Rattus norvegicus: one gene and its partners. The protein of the gene in region 1 purifies or fractionates together with the protein of each later gene. This does not show direct contact. Links are inferred from orthologs where the notes say so. Each region holds a gene or a part of one and is shown on either strand. Other genes may lie near its edges.

The links. Proteins that work in one complex are often made in the same cells at the same time.
Region 2: the proteins of Kpnb1 (region 1) and Rangap1 purify together in Homo sapiens (affinity purification with mass spectrometry; 3 studies listed by BioGRID and IntAct, with this or other methods). This does not show direct contact. The link is inferred for Rattus norvegicus from reciprocal best matches to the Homo sapiens genes KPNB1 and RANGAP1.
Region 3: the proteins of Kpnb1 (region 1) and Nusap1 purify together in Homo sapiens (affinity purification with mass spectrometry; 3 studies listed by BioGRID and IntAct, counting the BioPlex papers as one, with this or other methods). This does not show direct contact. The link is inferred for Rattus norvegicus from reciprocal best matches to the Homo sapiens genes KPNB1 and NUSAP1.
Region 4: the proteins of Kpnb1 (region 1) and Dlgap5 purify together in Homo sapiens (affinity purification with mass spectrometry; 4 studies listed by BioGRID and IntAct, with this or other methods). This does not show direct contact. The link is inferred for Rattus norvegicus from reciprocal best matches to the Homo sapiens genes KPNB1 and DLGAP5.

Annotation. Positions count from the first base shown.
Region 1 is NC_086028.1:82,668,057-82,672,186, forward strand, and holds the start of Kpnb1 (importin subunit beta-1), read right to left. Parts: upstream 2,801-4,130; 5' UTR 2,702-2,800; coding exon 2,662-2,701; intron 2,566-2,661; coding exon 2,507-2,565; intron 341-2,506; coding exon 158-340; intron 1-157.
Region 2 is NC_086025.1:115,127,765-115,131,814, reverse strand, and holds the start of Rangap1 (ran GTPase-activating protein 1), read left to right. Parts: upstream 1-1,250; 5' UTR 1,251-1,430; intron 1,431-1,499; exon of another isoform or gene 1,500-1,926; intron 1,927-4,050. UniProt on the Homo sapiens protein: GTPase activator for RAN. Converts cytoplasmic GTP-bound RAN to GDP-bound RAN, which is essential for RAN-mediated nuclear import and export. Mediates dissociation of cargo from nuclear export complexes containing XPO1, RAN and RANBP2 after nuclear export.
Region 3 is NC_086021.1:127,055,801-127,060,094, forward strand, and holds the start of Nusap1 (nucleolar and spindle-associated protein 1), read left to right. Parts: upstream 1-1,494; 5' UTR 1,495-1,568; coding exon 1,569-1,661; intron 1,662-4,294. Other genes in the region: Oip5 (protein Mis18-beta), read right to left, coding at 638-704, 939-1,236. UniProt on the Homo sapiens protein: Microtubule-associated protein with the capacity to bundle and stabilize microtubules. May associate with chromosomes and promote the organization of mitotic spindle microtubules around them.
Region 4 is NC_086033.1:23,141,377-23,145,569, forward strand, and holds the start of Dlgap5 (disks large-associated protein 5), read right to left. Parts: upstream 2,801-4,193; 5' UTR 2,753-2,800; intron 736-2,752; 5' UTR 735-735; coding exon 500-734; intron 1-499. UniProt on the Homo sapiens protein: Potential cell cycle regulator that may play a role in carcinogenesis of cancer cells. Mitotic phosphoprotein regulated by the ubiquitin-proteasome pathway.

The sequences.
Region 1 (4,130 bases):
GCCCAACCCACTGCACCAGACACCTACAGCCACAGAGACGTTAGTGAAAATACATTCTTACACCCAGGTAACGTTTGGGTCTCAGAAGGCTATCACATGCAAATGACCAGCGTCTTCCCTTAAACCATATGATATCAAGGATTTGACAGTCACTTACATAGTTCTTGACTTCCCGCCGAGCATTAGCATCAATAGCAAGCCACCTCTGCTGGTACTGTGCCTTGATATCTGGATCCTTCGATGTCAAAGAGTTCTTAATTTGTAGACCAGCTGCAACTCTGGCAACCTGACTGTTTCCGGGATTTGCCAGCACTCTGGACAGTTCCACAAGGAACGTGGGCTGTGGAGAAGACACATTTATAAGTCTATCAGCAATTTCCACTTGCTTGCAAAGCCCTAGAGAAGAAACACAAAATTTAGATCAAAGTATCTCGGAAAACTGGAAAATCTCTTTTTGAATTGGTACCTGCATAAACTCAACACTGAAAAGGTTTCCTCCGGTTCAACAAAAAAAAGTTAAGGCCTGACTAGGCAACATAAGCCACTTCAAGGACAAGTCCTATAAAACCTCACCTGCTATGTGAAGAGACAGATTCTTCCTATCAAGAACATGTTTTGAGCCCAAGTCTTATAAATAGCTCCGCAGAATTAAAGCCAAATTGACACCTGGTAATGTGTTATCCTAGTGACAAGTTTCTTCAAGCAGGTACAAGAAAGCCCAATGCTGCAAAACTGCTGAATGAAAAGAATACTTAAAAGTATACTTTAGAAAAAGGTCTTGCCCAAAAATAATAATCAGGACAGCCCTCTGATCTCATATAAGTCACCTTTTCTAACACATACGCACATACATGAAAGTATAACACAGATATAAGATCTAGTCCTCTGGGTTTTAGCTCTGAATGTTCACCAAAAGGGATTTGTAAGTCAAAGTGTTAACTAGTATTCAGAAATTGAAAGAACACGACAATGTGAATGACACATGAGTTGTCGAGAAAAGTCGTTTTTGTTTAGTAGCAGGACATACCAGGAGCCTATCCTGTTTTGGACCTACTGTCAACTAACAATGAATCCTCCCAAAACCTATGTTTTGAAATACAGGTCCAAAAGCCACTCATCTAAAACTTGTAACACATTTCTTCCTCTTCCAGAGCATACATACAGAGGAACACGCACAAAGGGTGGGGCAGTTGGGTGGGGAAATCTGCCCAATCAGGAAAGTTATAAAGGCCCAAAGTAGACACATTTTTTTAGTGTTAGCAAACCAAACACAGGAGATAATTCTCAATGCAAGCAAACTCTACAAGCTCAGAAGATAATTCTCCAAGTTTTACTCTGTGACACTGAGTGTTAGGTGCAGGAAAAAGGGCTTCTAGCACACTAGCAAAGCAAAACCAAGAATATACTATGAGCAGAATTCTCAGTCCACACCAACAAAGAACTGCTTGAAAGGTTGTGAGTTAAACATAAAAACGTCAATACAAAGTCACTTACTACTCTTTCAAAAAGAAAAGTGGTCCGTACATAATAAAATAGGATTTGTGGCTTTATGCATGTTACTATTTTGCCAAGCATCACAAAGGACTACATTTGGTTACAATGTCCTTTTGACTTTTTAAAACTTACTACCTTAAAGAGACTTTTAATACCACCCACCCTTCCCTCCTTTCCCCTCCCCCACTTCCCCTTCCCCCCAAAGGAAGGGAGAAACATTCTGGCAATAGATTGCTTCAATAATCGTATATTTTCCTATACAAAGGTCAGTCTTTTTTTAAAATGTACTTCTTAAATCCAAAATTATAAAATCAGGGTTTTATATTTCATCCACTGATTTCATCAGGGAATAGGCTCAATCTCAGAAATAAGACTCAATCTGAGATCCCTATAGATGAGGTCTCTGAATAATCCAAGTTCACACAGAACACACGTGCACACTGAGGCCAGGAATGGGATAATAGGGCAAGAAAGGGAAAAAACTGAGGCAATGGGTTCAGAGGTGGTCGGGTGCCAGGCGTGGCCATGAGCACAGACCAAGGGAGCTAGGAAAGGATAGGGCTCTAGGAAGTAGTTGCAGACAGCAACAGAGCCATGGGACAGGAAGGAGAAGCCGGCCGCAGCCAGTACAAGACAGGCGGCAGGGCGCAGAGCTTCCACATGGCCCCTAGGCCCGGCTCCCCAACCCCCACCCTTGCTGAACACGCAGCGCCATGCAACCTAACTTCCCTTCCCTCCCTCTTTCTCCCTCCCGCTGCACCGCCGCCCTCAGGTCGCGTGACGATTGGACAGCGATCACCCCGGCGCGTCTCGCCATTGGCTAGACGCAGGGCCCGGGGCGGGACACACCCACCGGCTTCCCGATGGCGGGGTTAGGTTGGGCCGGGCGGGGGGGAAGGGGGACGAGATGGGGCGGGGTGGGTTCCTCAGGCCTGGGCCTCCAGGAGGGCGGGAAGGCCCGCACGCAGGGATGGGGACGCGGCGGGATGGGGCGCGGCGGGGAAGCACGCACCAGATTCTCCACAGCCGCACGCTCAAGGAACTTCTGCGCCGCTTCCAGCTCCAGCCGATCTGCCAGGAGAAATGGGGGAGAGGCAGCGGGGTCAGAGGGGCCACCCCCTCCCCCACCCCAGTCACCTCAGCCCGACCCCCGGCCCCGAGTCCTACCCGGAGACACGGTCTTCTCGAGGATGGTTATGAGCTCCATGGCGGAGGTGACGGCGGCGGGGACTCCTCCCAAGACGACGGCCCGGCCTCTCGGGCGGCGGCTCCAACTGGGGATGGGGGTTGGGGGTCGGGTGGGAAGGGAGGGTGGGGTGGGGGGTGGGGGTCACCACAAGCCCATTCACCGGCCGCCTCTGGGCAGGCGCTCCGGCTCCCCTTCCTCCCTGCTCTCCTTCCTTCCGCCCTCCTAATGTGCTAGGCGGCAGCAGCTGCTCCTCTGGTGGCGGGGGAGGGACCCCGGGGGCAGCTCAGAGCGCGGCTGGTGCTCAGGCGGCGGAGGGAGAAAGGAAGGGCGGCTGTAAGTGAGAGGCGGATCGCAGGGAGGGAGAGAGATTGAGGGAGGGAGGCGGAGGGATATTCCTGCCGGACCTCTCCGCGGCGGCACCGCGCTGCACAGCGATTGGCTACTGCTGGAGCCACGCGGAGTCTCCGATTGGCCAGGAGCCTAGCGTTGAAGAGCCGCCGCGCGCCCATTGGCCTACGTGCTTCAAGGCCCGGTTGGCTGGGCGGGCAGCAGAATAGGGAGTGCTTATTGGCCGAGGGGAGGGGTCCTGGGGTGGGGTAGGTAGGAGCGCGCCGCTGATTGGGTTGGCCTGGGTAAAGGCCTTCGGGCTCAGGCCGGCTGTGCGCGGGGAGGAGGGTGGGCGGAAGGTAAGGCTCCTAGCGCGCCGGATTGGCTGGGATACTGGACGTTGATAGGACGGGGCGCCGGGAAAACTGAGGAGTTCGGGGTCGCCGCGCGTAAAGGCGGGAGGCCCCGGGGCTCTTAAGAGTCTAGCGCAGAGCACGACGGGACGCCTCCGGGGTGGGGCGGAGCTGCGCGCGAGTGGCTGGGACTGCGCTTTACGGAGAGCGGTCACTCGCTGTGGTGTAGGAGAAATGAGGATTTCGCGGGCCTCAGAGGGGGCGGGGAGGGGACCGTTAAAGCCCTGCGCCGCGCCCACAGGAAGCTGCTGTAATGGCGAGGTCCCTTGCTCCCCGCCACTGTGCTGAGCCGGACCGTGAGGACCACGTGGTTCACTTTCCAACCTGCGGATTTGGAAACTGAAGCCCAGAGAGAGCATGGAGCGTGTCCAAGGTCACACAGCGGATTACAGACTGGGTCAGAGCTGGATTTAGGCGAGCCTAATTGCCCGTGGAGCCCCTAGCAGGGCCCTGTGCTGTTAGCAAAGTTTCGCGGAGCCGCGTCCTTAGACCACTTAACAGTTAACCAGAAACCTTTGGTGTTCCGACGTAACTTACAAGATGTGTATAGATTATATAAAGAACATGCGCGTTGACGAGGTGTGGCGACACACCTGCCATCTCAGTATCCCGAATCCTGAACTACAGTTTGAGATACTGTTTTCAATTAAAAAGACAAAATAAAAACCTGGTGCATATAGTTGTTTGACATTCCCTTCCCCTCATTT
Region 2 (4,050 bases), on another chromosome or scaffold:
CATTCAGCAATCAGATAGACAATGATTCCATATAGAATTTTTTTCCCACACACCGAGCATTCACTGATTTTTGCCACATACAATGGTTGGGTGTATGCCAAGGACTTTAGAAATATATTCCAGGAAGAGGGTAAAACAACTGCTCTTGTTACTTTAGTTCACACTATCACACATAACCCACGGTACAATAAAAAAAAAAAAACCTCAATATTGATACTAACATTTACTATACAGACACATTTTGCTAATTATTTTAATATTGTCCTTTATAGGAAATCTCTGTTGTCCAGTGAAAGATGAAACACAGGCCTAAAACACATCTTTTTCCTATTTATTTGTTTATTTTTCAGTGCTGGGGATGGACCCAATGCATACACTTGTCACTGAGCTATGCCCCAGAGCAGCCATATTCCATCATCTTTAATCAGTAACATTCTTCAACTTGCATGGCACACAAGATTTTGGAGCAATAGAGACCAATTATCTGGAAGATGATCTTGGGTTCGTCTCTCTCTCTCTCTCTCTCTCTCTCTCTCTCTCTCTCTCTCTCTCTCTCTCTCTCTCTCATTTGATTAATTTTATCCATTTGAAGAACGGACTGCCAGCCATACTGCGTCCTCGGTGCACCTCGGCTATGGTGGTTGTGTTTGTTCTGTTATTGATGTTAATGTGAATCAGCTAAGGCGATGCCTGAAGGTTGTCTCTACTAAGAAATAACTTTCTGCATTTTTTTTTAATTATCGAGGAATCTTTGAAATTTCCTTTTAATTTCAGAGTAATTAGATTTTTTTTTTTTTTAAGTCGTTTCTTTTAGCAAGGAGATCCCTATTACTACTGATAAGCTCCAGGGACATGCCTTTCATTGTATCGCCTTTGTCAATAAAGTTGCATGAATGAGAGCGCTAACCTCTACGGAAGGGTGCGGCTGCCTCTCGGCATGGTCTGCCGGGATTTGTAGTCAGCGGATGCACCGGTCAAATACCATCCAACAGAGTCCCGTAGAGAAAGAGCCAGAAGCCGAGAGGGCGGGTGGAGAGGAGGGTTGCGAACTCCGAGCACTGTGCATCATGGGAATTGTAGTTCATCTTGTGCGTCCAGCCATGGCTGCGCGGGAGGACAGGACTTCCCTTCCCAGTAGACCCCGCAAGCGAGCCCGGCAAAACGCCGCTCCGGCTTGAACAAATCAAATCGAAGGAAAGAAACTGCCGGCTTTCAAAAATCCTCCTCCGCCGCCATAATCGCTGGGGATCGTGGAGCAGGTGGTGTGCACAAGCTAGACGAGCAGCCGCGGCAGCGAGGACAGGCGAGCAGACTGGTCACTGGAACCGCCGTATAGAGGCGCGGTGACCGGCCTGGCCCTCGCGCGGGCTCTCAAGCAGTGACCGACGCGTGCGTTCCGTCCCCCCACGCGGCGGCGCCGCTAGTTTGAGGTGAGTCGGGGCCCTCACGCTCTTCCTGTCACTTGCTTGGCTACCAGGGTCCGGGTGGGGCGAAACGATCGCCTCATGACTACCCCCTTTTGATCTCGCTGAGCCCGGCGTTGGGGGATGGGGCGCTGGGCGGCGCTACCCCTTGTACGTTTGGAGAAACTGAGGCCTAGAGTGGACGGTAGCCACAGCTGTCTCTCCGCGGTGGCGCCTCACGTTGGCACCCATCTCACCTGTAGGCGGTGAGAAGCCGCCTGCCGTGCCGGGTGGCGCCACCCAGTCCATCGCTGCCTACCCAGTCGGCCCACGTCCGCGCGGGAAGCCTGGCATGAGTCACTGCTGACGCTTTGCTGGGTCGATGGATGGCTGTGCACCTGAGGACGTCTCCCACGCGGCCGCCCAGGAGGAGAGGGCGTTTGTGTATTGACCGTTTGTGTCTGATCCCTCGCAAGCTGTCTGCTGACCTTGGATAGCTCAATACCATTTCTCTTTTGCTTTGGTTAGTCATTCTTTAAAGTGAATGGGGGAGGGCTTGTGTGTGTCTGTGTGTCTGGTTCCAAGACCTGAAATTGTGCCTCCCTTCTACATGGAGCCCGACCACCGCCACCCCGTTTTAAATCTCATTGTCTCATCGTAGAACTGTAAGAGGTGGCTGAATTCTAGATAGATTTTCACTCATCTTCGTGTTTGTTGGGTTTCTGGCCGGTGACAGCTGGCTGAAGTGCCTATTTAACCTACCAAAGCTGACCTGGCCTTCAGATTCTCCCAGCATCCCTTAGTCCCTACTTGAAGTTTCCAGCCCAGGGCTTGGGCTGCCTCTTACCCCCTGAAGCTCTTCACTGTATAATCCAGACATTTTGGTCCTCTCCCACTCTCCTCCTCCATCCCTCTGTCTTCACTTCTAACTTCTTGCATATGAGAGCTCATTTTTCCTTTGTCTTCCCCACCTCTCTGTCTCCCTGTCTGCAAGACAACTTCCCTTCCTTGGAACAGGTGAACCCACCAGAGAGCTGCCCCCAATAAACCTGCCTTTATACTTTAATTTGGCTTGAACTGGCTTAGTTGGTCCTAGGAGAATACCTGTCAGTGTTGTCATTTTTTGAGCCCTCAAATATCAGGCCTCTTACTGGGACCCTGTTCCTGTCAAAAGCAGCTTGGTGCACTTTTAGCTGCTAAAAACCTTCCAGGGACCCTCCTGGTCACTCATCCTATACAGTAATTAGGATGTCTTTTGTGACTTGAGTCTTTTCTCCTCTGCTCTAACCGTAGCCCCACTGGCCTTGCAATTCCTCCTCTATCCCATGAGCCTTTGCATATTGTATTCCTTTTGTAGGAATGCTCGTCCCTCAATTTCTGCTTGGCTCAGTCTGTCATATCTTTAGTTTCTTTACAGGTAACACCTTTAATCATCATTCTACTGTAAACAGCTCCCCCTCCCCCCCAAAAAAAGAAACCCATCAAAAACGAAAACCACCTTCTTTGCCCCTTTCCTGGTTGCTTTGTGTGGGGATTTTTTTTTTTTTCTTTGTATTTTTCAGACAGGGTCTTGTGTAGCCCAGGCTGGCCTTAGCGCCTTTAGTAGTTGGAAATGGCGTTGAACTCCTGATCCTCCTGCCTCCCCAAGTACTAGGTCATAGGTGTGCCACAGCACCTGGCCTTTTTTATTATTTTATTTCTTGTGGTGTAAGAGCTTGAAACCAGCCCCTCACAAACCCTAGGCAAGAGTTCTACTGCTGAACTGCCCCTCCCTTGCTTCCACGGGCTTTTTCATTAACATGTAAAATATTTTGGTTTTTGGAATATAAATAAACTTCAAGGAATATGTGCCTTACTGTAGTTCTGGTATTCCAGACAGTGTCCACTACATGGTGCTCGATACAGTGTTTTGCTGAATGCTTTGATATTTTATCCTGAGTTGTAATGTATGCTTATTGGTTAATAAATCAGGGTGTTTGGGGGTAAAATAAGGAAAGTGATGGGCAGCTGGCCAAGCCCAGAGGAAGCCTCGGATAGGCAGGAAGTCCTGAGGCCCAGGGGCATTTGGAGGAATCTGGCTCTGACCTTTGTTCAGCTGAATCACTGTCTGCTTGTGGTCTGGCATTCAGAATGTGCTCAAAGAATGACTTGACAGGTCCGGTGTCTTAGTTGGTGTTCTGGTTGTTGTGAAGAGACACCATGACCAAGCCTATCCTTTTTTGGGTTTTCAAGGAAGGGTTTCTCTGTGTAACAGCTGTTGGTTGCCCTGGAACTTGCTCTGTAGACTATGGTGACCTTGAGATAGATATACATGAAGTATAAAATGTCTTATTGAACAGGTTTAATCCACTATCATCACATTGGGTAGCATTGTGGCATGCATGACACTGGAGCAGTAGCTGGGAGCTATAACCCATTCTAAAGACAGATAGAAGTCAAGTCTACGAGCCTATGGGGGCTGTTCTAATTCAACACCACTCCCTGGTCACCTGCCACATTCTCTTTGGGAACATGGAATTATCATTCTCTCCTCTCTGTGGTAGTGCTGGGGCTTGAACCTGTAGCCCCCTATGCCTGATAGGTCCCTCACTTGGCTGTATGCCAGCTCTACTTTCTCATTCTGCCAATGTTACGCTCCCGGCTGTGG
Region 3 (4,294 bases), on another chromosome or scaffold:
TATGAATTCAAAGTATTCTCAATTCAACAATGTCCACATCCTAATGGTCCATTACAGCTGGTAGTGGTTACAGTACTGGACACATGTGACCATCTACATCAATTCTGAGTACTTCTGCCTCTTGCTCCAAACAACTTCAATAGAAACAGGCCACTCCTTCCTGGTCCCCTTTGAGAGAAGGAATTCCTATAAGGATAGGAATGTGTCTTTAGTTTGGCAAAGTTGAATGGAGGTATGGCTACAACTTAGCTTGGCCTCACTCTAAGCCCGAGTTCACTGAGTACTTTATTGCTATAGGAAAAACATTAACAAACAAAGATGCAGAGTTTTCTATAGATTACTACAGAATTAGTCTTGTCGTGATTTATATTATGTTTATATATTTACATTATAAGCTCCAAGTTAAATAGTCCTAGTTATCTCACAGACCTTAAGACCTACCCCCAACTTTAACTTTCATTAAAGCCAGGTTAATATGACTGAAACGGGTAAAGAGTTTATCTTTCAAACATACTGTATGGAGAGAGTAAACATGCCACAACACAAAGTTTCTTTCTTGTTTACAACAGTTACGTACTCTTGACCATCATTAAATCCGGAACAATACAGATCCACCTCAGGAATTCTCCACACGTACCTGGATTTGAGAGAACCTTCTATGCCAACCAAAAGGGGCTCTAACAAAACGACGTTGTTTGTGACTCCTGGAAGACAAACCGGTTTTGAAAAAGAAATACCTCCCACCAGATTCATCGGGCCATAAAAGTTAACCAAGTGGGGGCTGTGCCAAAGGCGCTGGCTTAGCTCAGGCTAGGTTCTGTGTTTGAAGCCCAACTCTGGAAAACAAAACCAGGCCTCACTCCCCGCTCGGGTACTAAGCCACATCCCCCATCTGGCTCTGGTCTGCCTTCCTCAGATGCAACCCTCGCCTCACTCACTGGAAAAGGCCAGGGCGCCGAGGAACTTCGATAGGTCCCAGGCGAGGTGCACAGTGTCGCCGAGCACCGCGTAGCAACTCGCGCAATGAAACACCGCACATCTCTCCGGCTTCAACCACGCAGGCAGCCGCAGGTCGACAGGTGACGCCTTCACCTCAGACCCGGAAGACCCGAGAGGGGAGAACCCTTCCACCACCTGAGTGTCCCACTCCATGGAGGAAGAAAAAGGTGTATCACAAGAGCCACTACAGGACTGGGTCTCGACGACAGGGAGACCGCGCGGCGAAAGAGTCGCCATTTTTCGAAACCCGCGCCTGTTTCACGCACGTCCCAGGTCCCGCCCAACTGTTTTGCTGTGCCTTCATTGGACAATATTCCTGTAAGACACGCCCACAATACCCAGTGTCTGCCTATTAGGTTTGCGGAGTAGCTGTCTTCAGCCAGTCACGCTACTGGCCCTCATAGGAAACCCCACCCTCGAGGCAGTTCAACCAATGGGCGTACAGCATTCGTCATTTAAACTGAGTATAAAAGTCTGCTTGTCAACGTCTTGGGTGGCGCCAGTTTTGAACGGTGCTGTTTTGAGTCGTGTGGCTGTTTTTCTGGGTATCACCGTGATTGCAGAACGTGATGACCGTCCCCTCTGCAGAGGAGCTGGACTCCTTCAAGTACAGCGACCTGCAAAATTTAGCCAAAAGACTGGGCCTCCGGGCTAACCTGAGGGTACGGTGCTGACTGGCGGGGCGGGCGGTTGCGGGCGGCTTAGAAGAGGCTCGGGGTTTGGGGAACAGGGCACGAAGTGACTGAGAGGGAGTCCCCGAGGAACGCTGTTTTGGGCGAGTAGGCAGGTTTTGTTCACAGTGACTGGAATTTGTTAAATGAAAGAAAAGCCATGTCTGTTACTTTATTTGGAGGCTTTTCTCAAGAACTCATAAAGGCCTCTTAATGGAAATCCTGGTACCAGATGGGAAACGAAGGCTCATAGGATGTGATCAATGTAATTTTAATTTCTATTCCAGTTATTAGGCAGTTAAAGAAAAACTACTTCAAACTACTACTTACTGTTCAGTAAACCGTGCCAGTACCTTCACTCTCATGAGCTTATAATATGCTTGTCCACCAAGATCTACTATGATCATCGATACAGTAATCACTATTGTGATGGTGGTCTTTTTCAAAACCGAAAAGGTCTTTGAATCCCGAGTTTGCAAGGTACTCAGAGAAAATGTGGTGATTCATTGTGAAATTAGGCTTGCTATATTGGAGCTGAGATTTCCCACATGTATATGCCAGAGATTTGTACAGCAAACTGATATTTTCACTAAATGTCTAATCAGTTGTCACAAGTGTTTTTAAATACTTTAAACAGAATAATGAGGCCATAGATAATACGTTTTATCTGGCTGAATGGCAGTGAAGAGCACTTGGAAGTGTTTCTGAGTTTAGTACTTAATGGCTCCCCAACTTAGTGAATAAAGCTTAGTCTTTCAGGTTTTTACTATCTGGATAGATTCTCCTCCTCCTCCTCCCTTCCCTTCTTCCTTCTCCTCCTCCTCCTTTTTTTTTTTTTCTTTTCTTTTTTTTCGGAGCTGGGGACCGAACCCAGGGCCTTGCGTTTGCAAGCTAGGCAAGCGCTCTACCACTGAGCTAAATCCCCAACCCCCTCCTCCTCCTTTTTATGAAACAAAGTCTCATTGTACTGCCCAGGCTATCCTGGAAAATAGTGTATAGTTTAGAGTAGCCTGAAACTCCCCTTCCTCCTCTGGCCTGACTAATTGTTTATCAACTACACCTGTTGCCTCTAAGCTCATTTGCATCTGAGGTGATCACCACCATCATACCTGAGCAGCCTATCCTACCTCAATTTCGTAGTTTGGGTTTTGCTTCACAGACCCTGACGTGTTCTTTATTTCTAGCTTACTTGGTTTATAAACTCTTTTTCCCACTAGTCCCCTGAGAGCTTCCAGCAGAAGACTTGTCTGCTTTGCTCACCAGTCTTTAGCTCCTAGAACAGTGCCCTGCACAATGTAAGAACAGTTTGTTTATTCAGTCGATGAATTAATGCTAATGAATAACACTTGTACTTCTAGTCAACTTGAGCTTCTCCCCATTTTATTTGACCTGCTAAATGTCTTCATTTGCTTGTACCTCAGAGCCTCACTTCTCAGTACTGCATCCTCGGTGAGATGGTATGTTAAGAAACCATATCCTAGTCAGGCAGTGAGGTGGCTCATTGGACAAAGGTGTTTTATAGCCAAGCCTGGTATTTTGACCCACATACATAGTGGAAGAAGAGAATTAACTGTGCAAAATTGTCCTCTAAACTCCACACCTGCAGGGTGGCACACTCATGCACAGTTGCATGCGTGTGTGCGTGCATGCAGACACACACACACACACACACACACACACACATAAGTAAATAAGAATTTGCATCTAGCTGGGCATGGTGGCACAGGCCTTTAATCCTAGCACTAGGGAAAGAAGGCAGACACAGGTGGATCTCTGTGATTTTGAAGCCAATCTGGTCTACATAGTGAGTTCTAGAACCACCAGGGTCACAAAGTGAGATAGGATTTGGGTTAGGTCCATTGTAGTAAATGAGAGCCATTTTATTAACAAAGTGAGATACAGTTTTGAAACAAGCAAACAAAAGAAAGGAAAAGAAAAGAAGTCGTTTGTAATTTTGGTAAGCCTTACCTATAATCCCAGCATTGGAGAGGCAGAGACAGGAGGATCGTGAATTGAAGGCCCTATGTCAAACAAACAAGATGGCATATGGTTCAGCTTGTCAACCCTGAACTAAACCCTAGATTAGGTAGATCTCTGAGTGTGAGGCCAGCCTGGTCCACATAGTGAGTCATAGACCAGTCAATTCTATATGGTGAAACCCTGTCTTTAAAAGAGAGATCCAGATGACCTATTTGAGAGGGAACTTTGGGTTAGGTCCATTGTAGTAAATGAGAGCCATTTTGTTAACAGTTGTCTCCATGCAGAGGAGTCCAGTACAGTTGAAGCTGTGGCTTGGGCCCACCCTGTACTTAAAGTACAGAGCAGATTTCACACTGGCCATTCATTCACTTCTGGTAAATGATAAATTGTATGAGAAGGAGAGGCAAGCTCTGAGGCTGAGCCTGTAGGCTTTTTCTCTCCCTCAGTGATGCAGATACAGGCCAGATTAGACCAGATTAAAAGTAGACAAAGGCAGATTTATTAGGAGGCAGATTTCAGGTGGTCTCGCTGATCTCACAGTGGAGGAGTCAGTGAGGAACTGGGATTGTATCCATGCATGGTCAAAAACTGGCTGGGGACCAGGTGGTTGCTGGAGACTAGGAGTGTTACCCCAAAATCGTCTC
Region 4 (4,193 bases), on another chromosome or scaffold:
TTCCTCAGCTCCGCCCCTCTAACTCCTGGCCGTCTAGGATACTATTTTCATTGTTTTCATCTTTTTCTGAGACTATTCTTTTTCATTTATTCAGTTCCTTTCTTTATGGCCCAAACCACTTTGGGCAAATTGTAAGAATGATCTCTTTTCTCTAGGTGACTGGTGAAATATTTTTTTAATGATTTTTTTTTTTTTTGGTCCTTTTTTTCGGAGCTGGGGACCGAACCCAGGGCCTTGCGCTTCCTAGGCAAGCGCTCTACCACTGAGCTAAATCCCCAACCCCATGATTTTTTATTTATATGAGTACACTGTCACTGTCTTCAGACACACCAGAGGAGGACATCGGATCCCATTACAGATGGTTGTGAGCCACCATGTGGTTGCTGGGATTTGAACTCAGGACCTCTGGAAGAGCGGTCAGGGCTCTTCACCGCTGAGCCGTCTCTCCAGACCCTTTCCTCTCAAAGGTACTTAAACTTAGAAAAGATTCTTAACTTACTTGTTTTGGAGCTGGCATTTTCTAGAGTGAGGTCTTGAGACATCTCATGTATATTAACAAGGTCTCTACCTTCCAGTGGGACGTTGACGTCCCTCAAACCAAAGTGTCTGTTTCGCTCATACACCCGGTGCCTGTTTTCCTTCTGAGACAGCGACTTCCTGTGAGCCAAGCTAGTCCTAATCATCTCGATGCTCGAATCTTTCCGAAGCCGACCAGCAAACCGTGACACCGGCATCCTGCCACAAAGGAGGGACAAACACCAACTTAAGTGGAATTTCATTTTATCATTATCAGGTTTCGGCAGCTCATTACTATACCACCAACAAACCCCAGCGAGCAAATCGTGTGAACTCGAGGTCAGCCTGGGCTAAAGAGTAAGATACTCTCTCAAAGAGCAAAATAAGTAAACTAATAAAATCAAGACCAGTCCGTCTCCTATCCCACTTCTGCGTTTCCTTGAAATGAAACCATTACAATGGACACCGGAACTAATATGAGTACATATGAAAGAAGAAAAGTTATCACAGATGAGATACCGTGGCCTATTTGGCGGGTCATGAGTAGGGAGCTGCTCAACAGATTAAAATGAAGCAGAGAAAAACTATACAATATACACAAGAGGCACATGTAAGTGAAAACAGCTACATTGCAGAACAAACCCTTAGCTCCCCCTGGTGGTATAAAAGAACCTTGGCATTTCAACTTCAAAAGCCACAATGGTCTGGGGAGCTGGCTCAGTCATTAAGTACCTGCTCTAATACTCATGTAAGGGCTGGCCACAGCACTGCAGTAATGCCAGGCAGACACAGGAAATTCCCTGGGGTGGTTCTGCCAGCAAGCCTAACTCAACCAAGGAGCTCCAGCTTTAGTGAAAACCTCTGTCTCAAGAAAATATGGAAGATGAAGAGAGGGATAAGGAGAATGAATGTCTGCCCTTGGCCCCCCTCCCCCCCACACACACATGAGAGAGAGAGAGAGAGAGAGAGAGAGAGAGAGAGAGAGAGAGAGCGCGCGCGCGAGCGCGCAGCTGGGAAGCTGACACAGAAAGCTCAATGGAGTCAAAGCCAGATTGGTCTACGCAGTAAGAAACCCACCTATATCCTTCATTCCAGCATCACCCCACTGTGAGGAAAACACGTCTGTGATTCTAGCCCTTGGCTAAAGCTAGCCTGTTAAATTAAACACAGGGAGACCATAACGGGAAAACCAAAACAAGAGGGCGTGCTCCCAGTCAGTCTCAGCTCCAGAGGAGGATGGCGAGAGCTCCGTTAAAACCTCGTTTTAATCCTCTCCCCACCAAAACAAAACAACGACAAACACAACTACCAGAAAAAGAGTTTAAGAAGAACTTGGTAATACGGTTGTCTTAGATAGGGTGTCGATTGTTGCAAGGAAACACCAGGAGCAAAAAGCAAGTTGGGGAGGAAAGGGTTTACTCAGCTCACACTTGTATGTTGCTGTCCATCATCAGAGGAAGTCAGGACTCAAGCAGGGCCGGAACTTGGAGGAAGGAGCTGATGCAGAGGCCATAGAAGAGCGCTTGGTACTGGACCTCCAGCCCAGGGATGGCTCCCATCCACAATGTACTGGGCCCTCCCTCATTAACCACTATTTGAGACGATCCCTTACAGCTGGACCTCATGGAGGTATTTCCTCAACTGAGGCTCTGATGACTCTTAACTTGTGTCATGGTGATGGTCAAATGTACCTCTCACGTCAGTTCCCTGTCTGCGCTCTCACCTTACTCCCCGGTATTTTAAAACACTTCAAGCTTTTGCCTTTCTCTAAGATTATCAGTTTAATACTCTCAGGAAGTTAAAGAGAAATGACAGCCAGGAAAAGCAGAATCCACTGCCACTTCTGGGCTCTTTTGAGAGGTTCTAGCATCCAGGTCGGGTAGATTCTCGTCTCTAATACTTTATTAAATCTACTACGTTTTTCATGCCAATTCTTTTCCCAAAGGCTTTTTTTGTCGTTTATGTGTGTTTATGTTTATCTCTGTGTGTGGGTAAATGCATACTGGCGTCCAGAGGAAGGTGTCACACCTCTTGACGCTAGAGCTACAAGGAGTTTGTGAGCTGCCTAATGTGGGATGCTGGGAAAGCTAACTGTGCAAAAACAAGTGCTCCTAACTGTTGAGCCATCTCTTCTAAGCCATCTTTAAATTTTTTGGAGACAGAGTCTCATGTAACCCAGGCCACTCTCGAGCTGGCAGGTAGCCACGGAGGACCTTGAACTCTTGATCCCACTTACCTGAAGCAGTTTCTGGATCCACAACAATGCGGCTACACAGAAAACTCCACAGATCCGCAGAAGGAACCCCCGAACCGACCCTCCGCCGAACTGAAACTTCCCGCTGCCAGCCGCTGATTGGAGGGACCTCAGCCAACACTTCCGGAAGCTCCCGCCCCTTCCCCTCGAACGAAGCTTGCGATAGGTTGGTTCCGTGCGACATTTAAATTGTTTGGAAGGCAAAGGGTTGGGAGGGGGAGGCCGAGGAGTGAGGCGGTAAACCGGCTGGGCGGGGAGGCGAGGCACCAAGCGCGGTGGGGCGGGCCTGAGGGACAGAGAACTCCTCTTTCCCGGCCTCCTGGCCGTTTTTTCTTCTTTCCTCTTAAACTTTTTTTTTTTTATTTTATTATTATTTTTTTTTTAGACACGGTCTCACTATATCGTTCTGCCTGTCTGGGAACTCACTATGTAAACCAGGCTGGCCTCGAACTCACATAGATCCTCCTGCCTGTCTCAGAGTGCTGGGATTAAAGGCGTGAGCAAGCATGCTCAAAAAAAGAAAAAAAAAAGGTTTTAAGTAAGGTTAAATGAGATAATTTATTCCTTTTCTGCTTCCCTCTGACAGCAAAATTAACAGCTGCGTTAGAAATCAATCGAGAGGGGTTGGGGATTTAGCTCAGTGGTAGAGTGCTTGCCTAGCAAGCTGCAAGGCCCTGGGTCCTCAGCTCCGGGGGAAAAAAAAAAAAATCAATGGAGAAACAACAACGCACCCATAGACCAAGGCACTTATCCCATGAGATACCAAGAAAATAAAAAAGCCTGGGTCAGTACAGCTATGCTGAGCTTGTGTTTGTAGATTAATGGGTATCAGGTAGACGCTGGGAAGATAAATTAGGAAAACATTTTTAAGTTTGGCTTTTGCTTTTCCCTGCCAACCTCTTGGGACAGAGTACCATGTGCCTGCAACTCTAGCAGCGACGAGACCTCTAGGACATGCAAAGAGAAAGATGAAAATAGATCACTGACATAATATTTATGGTTATGTTAGATCAGAGGGGGGGAAAGCACGGATTTCACGACTAACTGATTGAAGCAAGCTGTATCTAGAACTGGCCAGCCAGGTGCACCTACCCAAGTCCAGATTCCAGAGAGCAGCCCCTCACTGGCGTTTGAGGTGCCTTTTATGGGAAAGGGTTAGGGTTGCTGGAAAACAGCTGTGGAGATAATTGGCTGTTAGCACCTGTAGCACCTGGACAGGAGAGTGGGCGACTGGGGTTCAAGGCTGCCAGTAGGGTAGATAAACGCAGGAACACAACCTGAAGAGGCGGAGTCACCACAGGTGTTCAGGAATTTAGCCAGGCAGAGGGGTGGGCGCACATCATGGGGTCGGGAGTTCAGCAAAAGTTGAAAAACATGATGTGCAGGAAACAGACCTGTACTTGTAAGGTGTAAGGGACTTAAG